Notamacropus eugenii: one gene and its partner. The main gene of each other region encodes a partner of the protein of the gene in region 2 in a complex. Links are inferred from orthologs where the notes say so. Each region holds a gene or a part of one and is shown on either strand. Other genes may lie near its edges. The genes, in order: NUDT21 and CPSF6.

Region 1 (9,830 bases), on a different chromosome or scaffold from region 2:
GTGATGTTATAGACTACAGTACTAGTTAGTATCAGGTTTAGGAGTAATCCTACATAGGAATGTCAATCTTCTAAATAGATATTAACCAAAGACCATCCATCTCCTCCTTTTATTCTTTTATGAATTTCTCATACACATTGGGGTCAAGAAAGTACTGTGCCAAAACAGGATCATTTCCCCCCAAAAGAAACTCTCCTAACCAACTTCTCAATCACCATTTGTCTGGTGATTTTCTGCTCAGATCAAAGCATCATAAGGAGAAAATTATGACTTAAAGACCATATCCTTGGGTTTATAGCTTTTCCCCAATTTTTCACTCTAGCCACACTCTTTCCACCACATGCAATTAAGTTGATATGTACAAACGACTAACCAGAGTGATTTCAGAGTACAATTTACTTACCAGGCAAACCTTAGTGTGTCACTTTCTGTCCTTACTTCCCTTGTTCAGACCCTGGTAACTGCTGATATTTCTCTTCTTTTTCAACCCTCCTCCTACCTGGGAGGTACTCTTTCAGCCCTTTAAATACTGAACATCTTTTTCTTAGGTCTGCTCCACTGTAGCTTCAGGTTGAAATCAACAGCCAACTTCCTCACAAACTGGGTTGATATCCCTCTGTAGTCTCCTCCCCTTCCTCTCCTTAAGTACCATATCCCTAAACCCTGAAGGTTCACTCCATCAGTAGATCCATTCCTCCAGGGGTACTCTTACTGTGCTCCATCTTTGTTAATACTTTTTATTAAGACTTTTCTGAAAGGATAGCTCTCAGACCATTCTATTTTTGAATCAATTCATCCTAAATTCTCTCTCCACTTTCTGGTTTAAAGGCCATTTTGATTTTTCAGCCCTTTTGTCCCAAATTATAAACCCATTCAAAGAAGTAAGGAAATACCCAGTGGTCCAAAGGGACATCTTCCAGAGGGATGATTCACAATACAAATTAGCATCTTAAAAGAAGTGGTAATAATAGTAACAACAATGTTAGCTGTCATTTATACAGGCTTTAAGGTTTATGAAGCGTTAACTCATTTCAACTTTATAGGTCAGGGAGATAGGTGCTATCATAAGCCCAATTTTACAAATAAGGAAACTAGAAATGATTAGTTAAGTAATTTGTCCTGAGTCACATGACTAGTGTCTGAGACTAGATTTGAGTTCAGGCCTTTCTAATTCCAGGTGCAGTCCTCTATCCACTGCATCACCTAGCAACTTACAGGATGTAAAGTAGGCAAAAGTCAGGAAGATTTGGGTTCAAGTCATTCTTCTGACACAGTGATCTAGGGCAAGTCAATTTTTCAAGGCTCCCGGGCAAGAGAGAGGCCCAAATCCTTCTGCCAAATTACAGATGGGTCCTTTGCCCATGTTAAACAGCAGATGTTCAGGCAAACTTCAGAATTGTGTGGGAAAATTTAAAAAATTTAGAATCTTACAGTTTATTTTATCCTCTCTATCTGCAAGTGGCTCCTCCTCAGTCCAAGTGTTCCATATACTTTGGGGTGAATGTTTTTACCATATACATTCTCTTAAATTTACTAAAACATTCTAACAGTAGCAGGTAATACACTGTTTCCCTAATCCATAACCCTAATGCCAAAAAAGAACAAACAGAAGTATGAAACCAAACACCTTGATATTTCTAAATTAGATCATAGGCACTTTCTCACTTCAAATTAACCCTTAAATGACAGGGAAAAATAGAGCAAAATTCACTAGCGCATGTTATTTGGCTGGAGGGCTTAACACCATCTTTAGACATGACATAGCTACACTGCAAGATGTAGTCCCTACTCCTCCATGAGGTTGTCAATGTGAAAAATTAAAAATCAAAAGACAGAGCAGTTATGAAAACTATTCTTAAAAAACTTTAAGTGTTATTTTTACCTACATTCTTTTGAGGGACAACTAGGTAGAGCAATGGATTAGAATACCATGCCTTAAGATTCATCTTACTAAGCTGTGTGACCCTGGGCAAGCCTCAGTTTCTTCACCAGTAAAATAGGCTGGAAAAGGAAATGGCAAACCACTACAGTACCTTTACCAAGAAAACCTCAAATGGGGTCACAAAGAGTAGGACACAACTACTGTTGTTGAAATTCAACAACAAAAATTACTTTGAAAGGAAACAAAGGATGAAGCTTATCTTCAGTTTAGCATATTTCTTGCCCACCTAGAACAATGAAAACTTGGGTCTACTAAGCAATAAATGTTTCTGAATTTAGTCAGTGCCCAACTTTCCAACAAACTGTGTTCCAAGATTTTTAATTTTTAGAACTCAGAATGCATTTTTAATATAAATGTTGGTTGTTTCCAGGACAGCCCACAAGTCTATTTTCATAGCATCATAGTTGGAAGGTTATTAGTAAAAATTAATTGACCATACACCCACAAATTAAAGGATTAATAAACAGCTCAATTTGAATGCTTTCAAGTTTGGTGGTCTGACATAGTTCTAGGTATTATTTTCAAATTGCTGAGATAAAAATCAGCAGACTACATTTTATTTTCAGATACCAAAGACTCGTATCTTTAACCTTTAAGTTCTTTGCATGATTACCTTTCCTTTATTTCTTAACCAAATGCAAATTTGAGACCCTACTTTTTCCATCAGAAACGAATGCCTACATTTATGTCAACTTTGTAACATTCAGTAAATGACAACATGAAGAGTAATTCCCACAGAATGATATACACACTCAATGATTGGTAAAAAGGTCTGCTGCCCGTTTGTTGGTATGAGATTCCCAATGTGAATTATCTGCCTGATAGAATCTGCATTTCAAAAACTGTAACTTTAAAGTTTAAGCAAAAACCTTAAGGCATATTCATTGTGGAGAATGCATTATACATGCTTTTCTATCTCTTAGAAAAGAATGCTGTGTTTCCATAGCAACAATGCAGTACCACACAGCAACCACATGCAGTACAACGTGCTAGGATGTTGGCCTAGTGGAAAAGAGAAGCAATATCCTAGAAAGGAAAAGCAAGACAGACCTCAAGCTTCCTCCCACTTGCCAATCCAACCACATGTCTAAGCAGGGACCACTGAAAGAACCCACAATATATGGGAAGTTTGGTATATAATGGAGTTGGCTGCCAGAAGGAGACTACTATTAGTGCCTCTATCAACTAGGTGTCCAAAGAAAGGGAAGCTTTATTTTTACAGTTTTTTTTAATGGAAAAAGTCATCCCCCTTCTGAACCTCATTTTATACTAGATGTTTTACTTATCTCCAATTTATCATGTATACACTTGGTTTGTGCATAGCTGTTTTGAGTGTCATCTCCTCCATTAGACTGTGAGCTCTTGGAGAATGGTGTTTAGCACCATCTGTAGACATGAAAAATCTTCTGCCTCTCTTTGTGCTTTACACTTTGCCTGGCACAAAGCAGGTGACTTCCTGGCCCTCTAGTCTAAGATTCCCAGGTCTGTCATTTACTCCCGGTGTGAGCATCCTGCCCTGCTTTCTGCCTTATTACACCTTACACCACGGCCTCCTTACTCTTCGATCCGGTGACAATGGTTCCCAATCACTCCTCACACACACGACACGCCATCTCCCAACCCTGCGAATTTTCTCTGGCTGTCTCCTTGCAGGCAATGCTCTCCCTCCTCACCCCCGGCGCCTGGCTTTGCTGGTTCAAGTCCCAGCTAAAATCCCACCTTCTAAAGGAAGCTTTTCCAGAATCCCCAGCATTAGCCGATGCCTTCCCTACGGCTTCCTACTTCTCCAGTATATGGCTTGCTTATGGAAATTTGTTAGCACACGGTCTCCCTCGTTACAGGGTGAACTTCTCCAGAGCAGGGCCTGTCGCCTGGGCCCAGGTCCGTGCCTGGCGTACAGCTTACTGACAGACGGAAAACGTCTTCCATCTCCTGCACTGGAGATTTAAGGAACGGTAGTGTATGTATTCTCAAGTCCTTTAGAACCGTGACGCTTTGCTTGGGGGGTTCAGGGCCAGGGGGGTGGCCAGGGGCACGCCCACATGTAGAGTGAGAAGCCTAGCGCGCCAAGGAGAAGTGGAAGCGCGCCAAGCCCACGGGTGCCCGGGACTCGCGGGGGGCCAACGGCGCGCGCCTCAGGAAAAGGAGTGGGGGACGCGCTCTGGGGGAGGGAGGGAGGGAAACATCGAGGCGGCGGCCGGGATGCGCTCGTGGCGTGGAGGGAGTTGGGGCGGCGGGAAAGCAGGGGCACGTCGCGGCCCGAGGATCGGGAGGAAGGGGGGGAGTCACTCACAGGTTGATGGTGCGCTCCAGGGTGAGAGGCTTGGTCTGCTGGATGTATTTGTTCCCAAACTGGTTTACACCCCGGGGCCAGCCCGTCTGCGAACGGTTGGGTGGCACGACAGACATGCTGGCGACTGAGGGCGTGGGCGCGAGGGCTGGCAGGGGCAGACGGAAGCCGAAAGAAAAAGCTGCTTCCCCTTTGAGGCCGGATTAGAGTCCCACTTCGGCAACCGCTACCGCCATTAACATGGAGGCGCCAGAGAAGGAGGCGGACGCTCACCGGAAGTGCTTTCTGACCTATCCTTCCTCAGCGTCGGGCTATTGCCTCGAATCACAGAAGGGAACTAGTCTCCTTCTCCAGAGCGGCGCGTGGCCAATCACAGCAAGGACGTTGCGCCACCGGAGGCACCCATTGGCAAAGACAAGTTAGGCGCCGCCTCTTCCCGGCTTTCTTCTTTCCATTGGGCGTCTCGTGGGTAGTGGGGGAATTCTAGGAGTTGTAGTATCGGTGGGTGCGACGCATTTGCCGCATGGCGCGCGACTCGTAGCAGTGTTCTGGTTTGGGAGGCAAAGCGATCCGAAGGTATGAGCGGGAAACGGCGCGCGGCTCCGGGACGTGTCTCAGAGGGAAAGAAGAAGGGGAAGCGGGAGTTGACAGGGGAGTTCTCGGCCGCTATCCGTGAAGAATTGCTGAAAAACCAGGTGGCTGAGGCCTGGAGCCGAAGGACGAGATTCAGTCACGGTAACCGCGGGCGAGCGGCGGTCGCATGGAGTTGCTGCTCTGGTTTGGGAGGGTGGGGGGTGGGGTGGGAGAAGGGTGAGGAGGGGGCTGCAAGCATGCGGGGGCAGAGCCCAGAGGGGCGGGGCCAGAGCCCAGAGGGGCGGGGCCAGAGCCCAGAGGGGCGGGGCCAGGAAGGGTCCTGGCCGAAAGACTGGAAGGGAAGGTGATCCTGCGGAAAGGTGTTTTCTGTAGCCAAGCCTAGTTCAGAATTGTGAACTGTAGTTTCCTTGAGGGAACAAGCTGGGTCTTTGTAACTCCAGCGTTTTCTCCTCTTCCTTGAACCCGTCCTTGATTCTCCCAGTTATTGGTAATAACTCAAACCTCCTCACTCAGGTGATTGATCCTTGCCCGCCGGTGACCTTGAGTTCTCCAGTTTTATGCCAGGGGAGTTTAATCTGATGATCCTGCCAACCTGCAAAGACTCCTTGTTGTGCCCAGTAATGGGCCTGCGGATCTAAAGAAAGGAGCCAGGGTATTTTACTCGTTAATGATGTTGCGAAGACCTGTGGGACATTCATTAGAAATTGTTAAAGTGTCTGTCCTCAGGGAATTTACAGTCTGGTTGGAGAAAAGAAAAAAATCATTAAAATGTTTGAGTACTTTGTATATAATAGGTGCTTAATAGATATTGGTTGTATGAATAAAAGTACAAACTCCAGTAGTCAATACTTGTCCACCCAACTGGACTAGCACCTCTTAAGCACCTTAGCCAGGTTTTGGGCTAAGCATTGGAGATTCAAAGAAAATCAAAAAACAGTCTCAGCCTTCAAGGAACTCACAATGTAATGGGAAAGACAACATGCAAACAGCTATGTCCGATCAAGATATATTACAGGTTAATTGGAGGGAGTCCTTTCAGAGGGAAGGTGGACTACCGTAAGCAGGACCTGTAGGAGGTAAGATTTTAGGTGAGAGTTGAAGGAAGTAAGGAGGCAGAGCATAGAATGAAGAGATGGAATGTTACCTGCTAGGAGTTGAATCGGACTGTATAAAATGTGAAAAGACTGGAAAGGTAGGAGTAGGCCAGGTTATGAAAGGTTTCAAAAGCCAGAGGATATTATGTTTAATCGTGGAAGTACTAGGGAACCACTGGGCTTCAGTAAAGAGTGAGAGGGTGATGTGATCAGTCCTGCACTTTAGAAAGATCACTGACATTTGGGTGGAGGATAGATTGCAAAGAGGGAGAGAGGAGTCAGGGAGGCCAACGAGCAGGCTCTTCAGAGTCTAGGCATGAGGCTTGCACAAAGTGTTGGAAAGGAAAAGGGGAGTGAATATATCTTAGTAATGTTGTGAAATATTGGTTGTGAGGATTGAAAGGTAGGAGTCTTGGATGACACCTAAGTTGTGAGCCTCGGTAACTGGGAGGATGGTGGTGCCCTTGAAAGGAAGAGGGAAGGGTTTGGAAAGAAAAGATAATAACTTCAGTTTTAGATATAATTGGTTTAAAGATGTCCCCAGGATATCCAGTTTGTGATGTCCAGTAAGTGGTTGGAGATACAAGACTGGATGTCAAAAGAGAGGTGTGGGCTGGATAAATAAATGTACAATAAGAGTTATGGAAGAACTATGCATAAACTGGGTAGAACTTTGGGAAATAAGTGGGAGGTGAACTAGAACACAAAATATAGGGTAAAAGTAAATAGAAAGTGGAAGACCACCAATTCTTCTTCTGTATTTTAGACCATGAAGTTTTATTTCCTATTCATCCCTTCCCCTTAAATCCCTCAGACCTCCCCAGCAAAATATTAACACTGTTTTCTTTTATGAAAGATGCCATAGTCATAGACCCAGATCCTTTCCATCACTGTGTGATCCCAGACTTCATCCAGTGCCAGACTTTCTTGGAAGGACTTCAAAAGGAACTTTTGGATTTGGATTTTCATGAGAAATGCAATGACTTGTACAAATTCAAACAGGTGTGTATTCACAAACTATTTATGCCACTTAAATATGCTCCCTCAAAGGTCATTTAATACAAGGTTCAACCAATCCCAGTTAGGTTACTATGGTTGCCTTATTTTTATTTTACTGCTTAATACTTTCGGCACAATTGTAGCAAAAGAAATATACATCTTTTTCTCACTTTTATCTTTCTGATACCTGTCTTCATAAGGCAGTATCATAGATTAGAAAAACTTAGAATTAATCAACATAGGTTTGAATCTTAGCTGTGGTACTTTATAGCCATCTGACTTAGGGGTGAATTACTTACCCTCCCCAAACTGGTTTCCTCCTCTATAAATTAGTAGTAACAATACTTGCAATAGCCGTTTCATACAGTTGTTTTGAGGTTCAAGTGACTTAAATATGCTGTTATAGGTGTACATATGTGTATAATTCTTATGTATATAAGTATGTGAGCAACATACATATAAGTAGTTTGGTGGCACAGTGAGTAGAACACTGGACCTGGAGTTAGGGAGGCCTGAGTTCAAACCCTCCCTTAGATACTAGTGGTGCAATCTTGGGCAAATCACTTAACCTCTGCCTCAAGTTTCCTCACTTGTAAAATGGAGGCAATAGCACCTTCCTCCCAGGGCTGTGGTGAAGATAAAATAAAATAATTTTTGTAAAGTGCTTTGTAAATCTAAACTGCTATATGTAAATGCTGATAGTACTATTCTGACAACTTCACTTATCATTCCTCTTCAACTTAGCTCTTTATAAAAATGGAATGGGCAAATGTACATTGCTGAAACTAAGAGAATGGTTTGGGGAGAGGACCATGGCAGATTCTGTACCATACCTCTTATCTAGGCTGAGAAATGGAAGGACAGAATCATAAACTGACACACAATTGACCTGAGCATGAGGAAGTAGGGCAGAATGGAGAATTGGTGGGAAATAACTGGAATCAAATTAATCTAAGCAAAAGAAGTCGCAAGGACTAAGTACTGACTGAAAAGAGAAGAAAACAATTCCCATAGAGGAAAACACAAACTTGACAGTTATAATCTTGAAAGTGTATAGATTAATTCCCTAGGAAAGAGAATGGAAAGATGGATAAGAAAAAACTCAGCAATTTACCGTATTCAGAAAAGGTATTTCAAAACAAAGGGATACCAAGTGAAAAGGAAAGATTGGGGCAAAATTTGTTTTCCTTTATTTGATTCTAGAAAAACGGGTTGGAACCATGATTTTTAAACAAGGTAGTAATAAAAATTTAGTGTCAATTCTGTTGTTTAAAGATATCATATGCAGTAAGGCAATATTAATTATATGTGTATTGCCATTAATAAGTTCTTAAAAGCTAACAGAATTATGAAGATATTGGTAATAACATAATAATTGTAGGAAACTAATATTTTTTAGAGTTCTGTAAATCTAGCAGAAAGATGAGAATCAAAGAAGATAAAAGACTGAACAAATTATTGGAACAATTAGATTTGAAACACCTATGACAGCTTCTCATTGGGAATATTTAAGCATATACCTATTTCAGAGCATCAGTAATAGCTTTACAAATATTGATCATGTTTTAGGACATAAAAATGGTAAATATTTTCTTTATAGATTGTTAAATAATGAAAACTACTATTCATAGAGGAAACATAAGCAAAATGTATAGACCTAAATGGAGACTAAGTAGTAGCATTCTGAATCACAGGCAGGTTAAAAGAATGATCCTAATAATAAGACAATATGTCAGAATATATGAAATCCAATAAAAGTAGTACTCAGAGGAAAAATTAGATCTCTGAAAACACTGATGAATTAAGAAGAGATATTTTTAATCAACTACGTATGCAGTTAGAGAAAACAGATTCAGCAAACTAACAACCCTTTAAAAAGGAATCTTGGTCATTAGCAGGAAAATAGAAAAAAATGAGGGAATAAAGATAATAGGAGTGATTTTTTTTAAACTAGCTTTTTTATGGGGTGTTGGGTTTTTTGGGTTTTTTTACAATATTAAGAGAACAATAAATCAATAGCTTCTTCAGTGTTACAGTGCATCTTTGGTTTCTTTAACGTAGCTATTCCCTCCAGAGGTGCAGATCACAACTCATCTGCGCCTTCTTATTCTTCTGCCATTCCTATCCATGTCATATAAATCTTACACAAAGGTGTAGACCCAACCTGCTTAAAACCCTCCTCTTGTGTAAATATCAACTGAATACACAATTATTTGTCAATCTTGCCACATGACTTGCTTACCTTCTTTGCTAGTCAGATAGCTAATTACATCTTTATGATACCTTGGTTTAAAAAAGAGGAAAATTAGGTTGCCAAAATAATAAATAAACTGAATCTGCCTTACTCTGAGATCCATGTTGTTACCATAGCTACCTTTCCAGATATCTTACATGTTTCCCAGCACTATTAAGGATACAAGGAAAAGATAAGGAATAATCCCTGCCTTCACAGGACTTGTAATGTTGATGTTAACATAAGACAGACCTACAAAAGCAGAACACTTAGGTAGTAAGCTAGGTAGTATTGATTTTATGTTCAGAGTCAGAGGAGACAGGTACTGAGCTCAGGCAACCCGTTATTTTCTCTTTTTTCAATTACGTCACAAAAGTTCTTGTAAGAACACAATGATTTGCCTGTATATCTAATGTCTGAGAGTTTTTTTTTCCATTATCACAAGTCGGATGATCTGAAGAATAGAGACGAGCTTCACATCTCTGCCTTAAGGTAAATGAAGTGTCCCTAATGCACAGCAGCAGGGAACTAGAGCCCTTGTTTCTAATCCCTGAACTCTAGAACTGAATTAACTGTAGCTCATTTGCAGTGCTGTGCATTTGTTTAGTGTCCTTTTAGAAATATCAGCATTATATAGAGCAGGGGTAGGGAACCTTCAGCCTTGAGGCCATATGTGGC
Region 2 (9,460 bases):
AAATCCTACTTCAGACACTTAGTATCTGTTGACTTTTCTGTGCTTTAGTTTCCTCATCTGTAAAACGAGGATGTTGGACTCTGATCTCCAAAGTCTTTTCCAACTCCAAGTCTATGATCCTGTGACTCCGTACTTCACAATTGGACACATCGACCAGGGTTGATTTTTATACATATTTGAGGCAAAAGAAAAAAGAACTGAGTCAAGATGCTCAATTATAAAATTAAAAATAAATAAATATAAATCCTGGAATGGACTGAAACTGCTTTAGTAGCTAGGATTCTAATGCTGTTCTCTTCCCAAACCTAAACACAGTGCATGTGTATGGTGGAGGGGGGATGAAGGGGAGAGAAGAGGATGCAAGTAACATTGCAAAAAGAAAAGCCCAAATGACTGCCTTCAAAAGAGTAACTGTTCCCAATTTGATGGAATCTAGGAACCTCCAATTAAAGACATCAAGAATACCCCCACATAAAACAGCAGAGTCCCTTGTGCTTTTTTCCCTCCCTTATCTTTCCTCACCACTCTTAAATTCATCTGGTCAATGAAGGAATTCACTTATCCCACTCCCAAAGTGCATTATATTAATAAAAAATGGTCAAGCTTAACTTCTAATATATGCATGATTATTATTTTTAAATATATATAAAAGTTCATTTAAATTTTAACAAAACATAATTTACACAGCAAATACAGAATTACCTCTCTGTATATTCAAACATTATACACTTTAAAAGTACAGGATCATGATCAAAGGGGGGTAAAAACAGCAGAGGTCAGTAACATCCAGACTATAAAAATCAAAGTTATCATTTAATCAAACTACAAACAAAAGCAGCACCTTCTAACTTCATCAATTTGAATCTCTAAAATGACATTGGTAAAGCCATTTGAATGTAGGCTGTCTGGTAGATGTTGAAAAAGAAATTCTGAATCCAAAAAAAAAAGCTGACTGTAAAAGTAGTCAATGAAACCCAGGAAATTTCTCTCACCCAGGCTGCAGGAAGTTAATTGAACAGTACCAACTGGCATTACAAACAAAGGAAACATCCCTCCAGGATCAAGTCTGCAACAGCCCTGAAGTATTTCTGAGAAGTGAAGAAAACTGAAAAAAGACTTGGCCACTAAATGATGCCCCAAGTATGCCTGCTCTGTGGAGAGGGAGCTCAAAGCCAAGGACAGAAATTCCTGTAAGGAAAAGGGAATAAAGATTATATTCATCCTGGCCTCCAGTCCTAAAGCATACCCAGGACTCAGAAAATACATAACATTGACCTCTTTTCGGAAAAAAATGCTTGCTAGCAGCAACTGTGCATCTAAAATCCTTAAAAAAAATTAAAAAGCTTCGATATATTCTTTTTGCGTGGTACTTAAAAGATCCTGTATTCTTACTAATAGTTTAAAGACACAGCATAATCTTTAAGCAGAACGGGTTTAGTAATATAAACACTGCAAATATGCAAATAAAAAGAACCATAGATTCCCCCCCAAAATAGCTTTGGTATTCCGTTTTTACGTGGTACTCCAACGCTGCAGGCTTACCAAGTTTAAAGACACTTAAGTGGCATAACCATAAGTCCAATGAACTTTCAACAGAAACACTACAAACATTAAAGGGGCCTGACACAAAAAAGGCTGAGAACCCCTAAACTAGAGTATCCCCCTACAAAGTTAGCTATTCTATTTTCTACGGCACTCAAACATTATATCCTATTCATAGTTTAGAGACATTTAATTGGCATAACCTTTGAGGACAACTTGCCATATTAACATCAGACATACATTCCGTGTGCAGATAAAAAGGGGATCCAAAAAAGCTTTGGTGTCCTATTTTTTTGTGGTACTATAAAGCTGTATTCTCATTAACAGCTTAAAGACACTTAACTGGTATAAACACTGAAAATAATGGGCTTGAAATACAAACCACAAATATCTAAAATATTTTTCATCTTAAGACGCTTTGACCATTTACGGCTTAATATCTGAAACATTTTTTGAAGTGTATCATAGGAAAATGTGGTGATTTCGTCTTTCCTGGGAACCCTACCCCAAGGTACACAAAAAGAAAAGAAATCTTTAAGGAAAAACAATCTGATTTGTGTCAATTAACATATTCACCCAAATTTAAAAAAAAAATAATCAGCAAACTCAGACGTGGGGAAGTTTAAGAAGTTCCTTTCTCCCGGAGCCAGAAAAAAAATAAACCCATCAGGTATGACATTCCTGTGCAGTTTGGGATTATAACCACCACCATCAACAAAAACACGTTATATGGGGCAAAATACGTTATCCACCTTCTGGCTCCTTCCACGTTTCAACCAAAACCCCACCTTTTACAAGAAATCTTTAAAAAAAAAAAACAAAAAACCAAGCCCCCCTCACCCCCGCCTCCCCCAAACCCAATCCCCCACCCCTTTCCCCAACCAGGGCTACTGAACAAAACACATACATCTAATTCCTGGCTTCCAAGTTTCAACTAAAATCCCACTTTCCAGATGAAGGAAAAACCCACCACTATTGGGCAGAACCCATTTAATCCACCTCCTGGCTTCTTTCAAGTGCCAATTAAAATGCCATCTTCCACCAAAAAAACCTTTGAAAACGGCAAAGCCCCCATCCCCACCCCCCCACCCGGGCTTCTCCCACCTTCCACAGGCCCCCTCCAAGCCAGGCTCGAAGGCGGGAGCCCCAGGGGCAGGGGCTGGCTTCAGCCCCCGAGGGGGCAGGCCGCCCCCCGCCCCCTCCCCGCAGGCGCTCCCAGCCTAAGCGGAGGGAGGCCCCGGGCGGGCGCTGCCTTCCCGGGGGCACCCATCCTCCCGGCTCCGCGGCCCAACAGCAAGGGCAGACGTTTTGCAAAAAGAATGCCCGTCCCTCCGAATCCGAACCCCGGCTCTTCCGGAGGAGACTCGGGACGGGGGCGAGGGGGAGGGGGCTCCCCCGCCCCCCCACCGGCGCTAAGCCACAAAGCCCAGGGCCGGAGCAGGCGCCCAACAAATGAGAAAACAAAAAGGAGTATTTTTCAAATAAAAGCTCCCCGCGGCGGGGCTCCCGCACCGCCTGTCCTGCAGGGGGGCGCCCACCCGCCACTCAAACGCTGGAAGGACCGGGGTCCGGGGGGCGGGGATTGGCGACTACAAAGCCTCCCGGGCCAGCGGCGTCAATGGACGCGGTGCACGGAGGCCTCCGGAGGTCGGGGATGGACATTTTCACAGCGAATCGGGCGTATGGAGGGGCACATGGGCAGATGGGCAGAGGCCCTTGCTTCGCTCGGCCCGATTGGCGCGCCCGGTCCTTCAGGTGCGAAGGGGCCATTCCCGCCCGCAGGCCACCGCCTCTCCCCCCAGGCCAGGCCCCAGCGCGGCGGCGGCGGCCAGGCCTCGGGGCCTCGGGAGCGGCGCCGGCGAAGGGACCCGTGGCCCAGGCGGAAGGCGGGATCCGGGAAGAGCGGGGCGCGAGGGGGCACAAAGGGCCGCGAAACGGAGGCTTCCATGAGGCGAGGGGCGGGAGCGGAGCCCAGTGGGGCCCTCCGCAAGGCCGGGCCGGGCCGGGCCGGGCAGGAGGGCGGGCCCCGGCCGTCCTGCCCCTGCTGCCCCCGCCCCCCGGCGCACACGAGGCCCGGCCCCGCCGCTGCCGCCGCCGCCGCCGCTCCGGGCCTACGCCGAGGCGGGAAGCCCCGGGACCCGGGCGTCGCCCACAATGGGCAAGCGGGGAAGGAGGAGCCGGGGCCGAGCAAGCCTAGAGGGCGAAGCGAGTGGGGAGAGCGCAGGGGAGGGAGGCCCCGGAATCTGGCCGAGGTGCAGCCCCCGCAGCAAGCGGGCCCGGCCCGGCCCCGACCCCGCCGGCCAGCGCGCAGCCCGCTTCGGCCGCGCGGGGCCTCCGGGGGAAAAGGGGGTGGGCCGCACGTACCTGGTTGAACTCCTCGCCCACATCCGCGTAAATGTCTATGTGATCCACACCGTCCGCCATTTTCCTTCGGCTGCCGCTGCCGCCGCCGCCGCGGCCACCTACAGCAGCTCGGTCCGCAGCAGCAGCAGCAGCAGCGGATCTAGCGGAGGGGGGAGGGGGGACCCATTGCGTCACTTCCGAGGCGGGAGGCGGGAGGCGGGAGGCGGGAGGGGTGGGCGCTGTGGGCGGCGGGAGCCGCAGCTGCGGAGGCGCCCTGAGCGCGGGCCCGGGCTGCGGCTGCACGGAGCGGGAGCTGGCGCTGGAGGGACGGGGAGGGGGACACCATTTTTCTTTTTTTTCATTTCTCGCCTCCTCCCCCATGGGGCTGGAGCTTGTGGCTCTGCCGCCGGCCATGCAGCGTGGGGGTCTACGCGAAGGCCCGGTAAAGGAGGACGGCCCGACACGTGGCACAGCCTCGGCTTCCTAATTATTTGCAATTAGCAGATGAATGTTTCCGTTTCTCGTTGGGAGTCCCTTTCACTTCACACCCTCCCAGCCCCACCCCCGCCGCCGGTCCTGCGGCTCCGGCACCGGAGAGCGGTTCGAGCCCTGGCACGCGCTGCGTCCCTAAGGCTGGACCCCCCAGCCCCTTCCCCTGCTCCTGGTGCACACCGACCATCGGCTGTCACGTTTTCTCTAGGGGAAAAAACCCGTGTACGTGTTCATGTAAAGGTGTTTAAAAGAAAGAGAAAGTACTGCCCACATCTTCTAATTCTATAAAAACTGGGGCAGAGGAGGGACCTTCTTTATCTGCCTCCCGTTGTGTCCCTGGCAGGGCTGGTAGGGAACCTTGGAAGAGGGGGAAATCATCTAGGAATCCATGGGGATGGAAAAGAGATCCACGAAGGAGCTGCTATTGGTTATGGCGATAGGGCAGGGTGGAGAAAAGGAAGAAAGATGAAAGGCGGGGGAGATCTGGAGAGCAGGATCAGTGTGGCTTGGAAACGTGGGTTTATGGGAATCCTTTCCTGTTCTCATTTCCTAAAACAAGGCAGAAATTCATCAAGACTTCCTCCGAATTTTGTTGGGGAAAACCCTATGAATGTGTGTGACTGAAGACGGCTGGAGATCTACGGAATTCTAGGAAAGGTTATTATAGAGACATGTTCTCTCGTCAGTTACATGTCAGGGCGGGTTTTCCAAACTAAAGGGAGTTACAATGTATCCTCCTCCTCTGAGTCCTCCCTCCAGAGGGGATCTACTCAAGGCAAGAGCTGGTGTGTTTGATTTTGTATGTGTGCCATGGGCAGTTCAGACCGACCTTGATCTGAATTCATCAGGGGACCTACCCAGCTTCATAGCCACTTGGTCAGATCTCGTTCTTTCCAAGGCAGCGTGATTCCTTATGGGTACCAAGCCATCGGAGTCAGGCCTGCGTTCAAGTGTTGTTTCTGATACCTACTATGTATGTGGTCTTTTTTTTTACAAGTCATTTAATTGTCCCACGTACCCTCCCTTTGCTTCAGCTTCTCTAGGACCCAAGCAACTCTTTAAGGAGGCGTTGGTAGAAGGAGTTTGGTCAACAGGTGAGTGTTCGTCCTTCATTGGGGGAGAAGATGATGCCATCAGAGAAATAATGACATGACTTGCACTTGACTTTGTTTTGAGTACTTCCAACAGGAAGGAATTATTTGTCATAATGAAATAATTTGTCATGAAGAAAAAAGAAATACCTGCTAACCCTCCAAATTTATATGCTTTTGAGATGAGGCTCTGATTCTAAGTCATAGGGCATTACCAGAGACAGAGAGAGTATAAAACAAGGGGGTCGTAACTTTTTTTAGGACAGGGACTCCTTAGACCAAGGGTGAACTTTTGAGGACGCATGTGGCCCTCTAGGTGCTCAAGTGCAGCCCTTTGACCGAATCCAAACTTCACAGGACAAATCTACTTAATAAATAATCATGTTATTTATTATTTTATTAGTAGTAGTATCATTATAAATAATCTCCTTAATGAAAGGATTTGTTCTGTGAAGTTTGGATTCAGTGAAAGGGCCACCGTAGGCTGCAGGTTCCCCATTCCACCTTAGATTGTCTAGTAGAGTCTATCAACCCCTTCTCAAAAGATTGTTGTCTTACACCCATAACAGAAGAAAATGCTGAATTTCAATGAGAGGTTAATGAAAGTTAAAATATAATTTGTGTTTCCCATCCACATCACAAATGCCTTGAAATTGATCCACCAACTCCTTGACTGAGTGTGTGTGTATGTAGACAACAGACTAAGAATCCTCATGAACAGGGAGAAGAGATAGTCCTGGACAGAATTCTTGGATACATACTTGGATAGATACTTTAAAAAGATTTTTTTATCCTGAATTTAACAAACATAAAAAAAAAGAATATTTCCATATATAATCAACCAACAAGCATTTATTCTCAAGGAGTTCACATTGTAATGAAATAGGCAAAAGACACATTGCTATATACATACAAGATACAGACACTAAATGAGAGAGAATCCCAAGGAAAAGGCACTAGACCTAAGCAGGGGACCCAAAAAAGACCTCTTGAAGAAAGCAGAATTTGAGCTAAATTGAAGGAAGCAAGGGAAATGAAGAGACAGAGGATGAGGAGGAAGGCATGGGGAACTATAGCAAGAACAGCAAAAATGTCTGGATCACAGGGGACAGAGAGGGGAGTAAAGTATAAGACAGCTGGAGAGGTAGGAAGGGGCCAGGTTGTGAAAGGTTTTAAAAGCCAAACAGAAGATTTTTTTTTTATTTCACCCTGGAGATCATAGGGAGGTACTAGAGTTTTTTTAACTAGTTAAACTCTAGTTCCCTCTAGGGGAGAGAAGTGATGTGGTCAGACCTATACTTTAACATCAGTTTGACCACTAAGTAGAAAATGGGATGGTGCGGGGAGAGAGGAGGCAGGAAGACTAGCCAGAAGGCTATCGCAATAGCCAGAGCATAGTTGATAAAAAATTGTATAAATGAAGAGAAGTAGGCATATAGGAGAGATGTTCTGAAAGAGAACAAGACAAGACTTGGCAACAAATATGGAGTAGGTACAAGGGAGGATTTGAGGATGACACTAAAGTTGAAACCTTAGGTGACTGGGTGGAGGATGGTAAGTGTTCTTGAAAGTTGGGAAGAGGAGAGGGTTTTAGGGGAAATATGATGAGTTCAGTTTTGGATGTACTGAGTTGGACATATCTTTACAACATCAATGATGGGATGTCAGAAGCAATTAATAATTTGAGAGTGAAGGTTAGGGGAAAGGTTAGAGCTAAATATATAGAACTACAAATCAGTATAAAGATAATGATTGAACCCATGGGAGCTGATGAGATCAGCCAGGTCAATAGTACAGAGGGAGAAGAGGTCATCAGATAGAGCCTTGGGGAAGTGACACCCCATGATTAGTAGATGTCACCAGGATAAAGAACCAGAAAAGGATCCTGAGAAGCAACAATCCCCATCTCTCACCAGCTATGCTACTTTGGGATTTCATCATTAATTCATGCCCCAGGAAACTCATCTTTGGGAACTGTTGTTATCTTGCAGGACAGAATCAGCCATGGCATTCCCATCTCATCAGTACCCTTTGAATTTCTGATTGGGCCCTCAGACTGTAGGGTAGACCCATGAGCTCCAAAACTTCCATTTAAGGAAGGGGCTCAGTCTTTCCATTTTCTACCAGTTGAACTGCTCTTAGATTTCCTTATTATGCCCTTGAGCCAAGTGCTTTCCCCCACCTGACTGCTTTTCAAATTCTTTTTGTGTGTTACCTTCTTCCATTATATTTTAAGCTCCTGTTGGGCTGGAACTATCTTTTTATTTGTATCTCCAGCACTTAGCACAGTTTCTGACCCGTAAGAGGCCCTTAATAAATGTTTATTGACTTACCGGTAGAAGGAGAACCAAGAGACTGTGGTATCAAAATTTTCAGAAGAGGAAAAATTCAGATTAATAGTGTCATAGGCTGCAGAAAGGTCCCTGAGAAAAAAGCCATTAAATCTGGCAATTAAGAGGTCAAAGAGGAGTTTCAGTTGAATGATGAAGTTGGAAGCTAGACCATAGAGGGTTTAGAAGAGAAGGAGAAAAGAGAAAGTGGAGGTACCAGTTGTAGATAACTTTCTCAAGGTCATTAGCCAAAAGAAGAGAGGAGAGAGATAGAATGAGAGAGATAACAGATGTGGTAGGATAAAGTAGGATAAACCTTTGAGTTTCAAATTTTCTTCCTCCCTCTTTCTTCTCCTCTCTCCTTGAGAAGGCAAGAGATTTTGTTTTTCAGTGTTGCATTTGGAGTGTATTTGTTTTTTTAAATGGGGGAGACCAGAGCAAGTTTATAGGCAGCAAGGGAGCATTCAGTAGATATCAAGAGATTGAAGATTAGAGACCTGGCATTAGAGAAGAGGCTATCTACTGGTGAACACAGGAAGGGATGGAATCAGGGATGCACATAGAAGGACTTGTGCTGGTCAGGAATGGGCTACCTCTTCATGAAAAATAGGGATGAGGAGGATATAGTGGAGGCATATTTCTCAGTCATGTGAGGTGGGGTGGGGGAAAGAAGATGAAGCTCTCATCAAATGAAGGATGAATTGAGGTGCTCAGCTGAGAGGGTTAGGGAAACGGGGTCCATAGGAGATTTGAGGAGGGATGAGAAGGTTTAGGGCATGTAAAAAAATTGCCCTTAATATAATGAGGGTCCAGTTGAGATTATATAACATAAATCTGTGGTAGACTGAGTCACCATAATTTTCTATCTCTAACTCCATTCCATGAATAACCAGTGAAGGTGATGGAAGGTGGAAGTAATCCAAAATTAGGGTTTGATAAAGCATCATAAGTGACAGAACAAGGGGCCAAGGGATTTAAGTGCATAAAAAGAAGATCATATGGGAAATGACACAGTATTATACACAACTTAGTTTTTTTAATCATATAATTAATTCAACATATGACTTTCATTGCTTTTCTGCTTGTTGTCCTCTGACCTTCCTTCTATTCTGTGTTCTTAAACATGCTTTTTATCCTTTTTTTTAGCAACAGTATCACAAGTTTTCCCTTCTTTCCCAACCCTTTCTCCCCAAATGAAAAGGGAAAAACACAATTCTTACAGTAAATAAGTACAGTCAAGGAAAACAAATCCACATATAAGTCCAAAAATATATGGTTCATTTTGTACTTTGGATCCATCATTGGTCCTCTAGAGGCATAGTTGGTCACTGCATTATCAGAGACTTTAAGTCTTTCCAAGTTGTTTTTCTTTACAGGGTTGTTTGTTGTATAAATTGTTCTGTTTCTGCCTACTTCACCTTGCCATCAATTCATACATGTCTTTCAAGTTTTACAATTTTATACACACACACACACACATCTTGGATATTGGACAGAGAAACTTGATGTAAAGATTTTTTTTTACTAGAAAACTATTACTTTTCTCAATTTAACTGCACAGATTTAGTCATAGATTTTTAGCAAAAACTTTTCCAATTATATGTAATAAAGAGTCTGTTGTATCTTTTATGATCCTCTCTTGCCTGATCATAAATTTTTTCC

Evidence for each region.
Region 1: the proteins of CPSF6 (region 2) and NUDT21 are in contact, whole or in part, in a crystal structure (PDB 3P5T), measured with the Homo sapiens proteins. The link is inferred for Notamacropus eugenii from reciprocal best matches to the Homo sapiens genes CPSF6 and NUDT21. Residues at the interface, in NP_008938.2 of Homo sapiens: Trp90, Trp91, Thr92, Thr93, Asp94, Glu95, Lys113, Phe114, Glu116, Asn117, Arg118, Ala119, Asn120, Gly121, Gln122, Ser123; in NP_008937.1 of Homo sapiens: Pro151, Asn152, Glu154, Pro156, Tyr158, Tyr160, Pro162, Ala163, His164, Ile165, Thr166, Lys167.

Annotation. Positions count from the first base shown.
Region 1 is NC_092872.1:473,941,742-473,951,571, forward strand, and holds the start of NUDT21 (cleavage and polyadenylation specificity factor subunit 5), read right to left. Parts: upstream 4,598-9,830; 5' UTR 4,352-4,597; coding exon 4,236-4,351; intron 1-4,235. Other genes in the region: prolyl 3-hydroxylase OGFOD1, read left to right, coding at 4,811-4,967, 6,777-6,922, 9,598-9,644. UniProt on the Homo sapiens protein: Component of the cleavage factor Im (CFIm) complex that functions as an activator of the pre-mRNA 3'-end cleavage and polyadenylation processing required for the maturation of pre-mRNA into functional mRNAs.
Region 2 is NC_092874.1:246,468,473-246,477,932, reverse strand, and holds the start of CPSF6 (cleavage and polyadenylation specificity factor subunit 6), read right to left. Parts: upstream 4,079-9,460; 5' UTR 3,967-4,078; coding exon 3,907-3,966; intron 1-3,906. UniProt on the Homo sapiens protein: Component of the cleavage factor Im (CFIm) complex that functions as an activator of the pre-mRNA 3'-end cleavage and polyadenylation processing required for the maturation of pre-mRNA into functional mRNAs.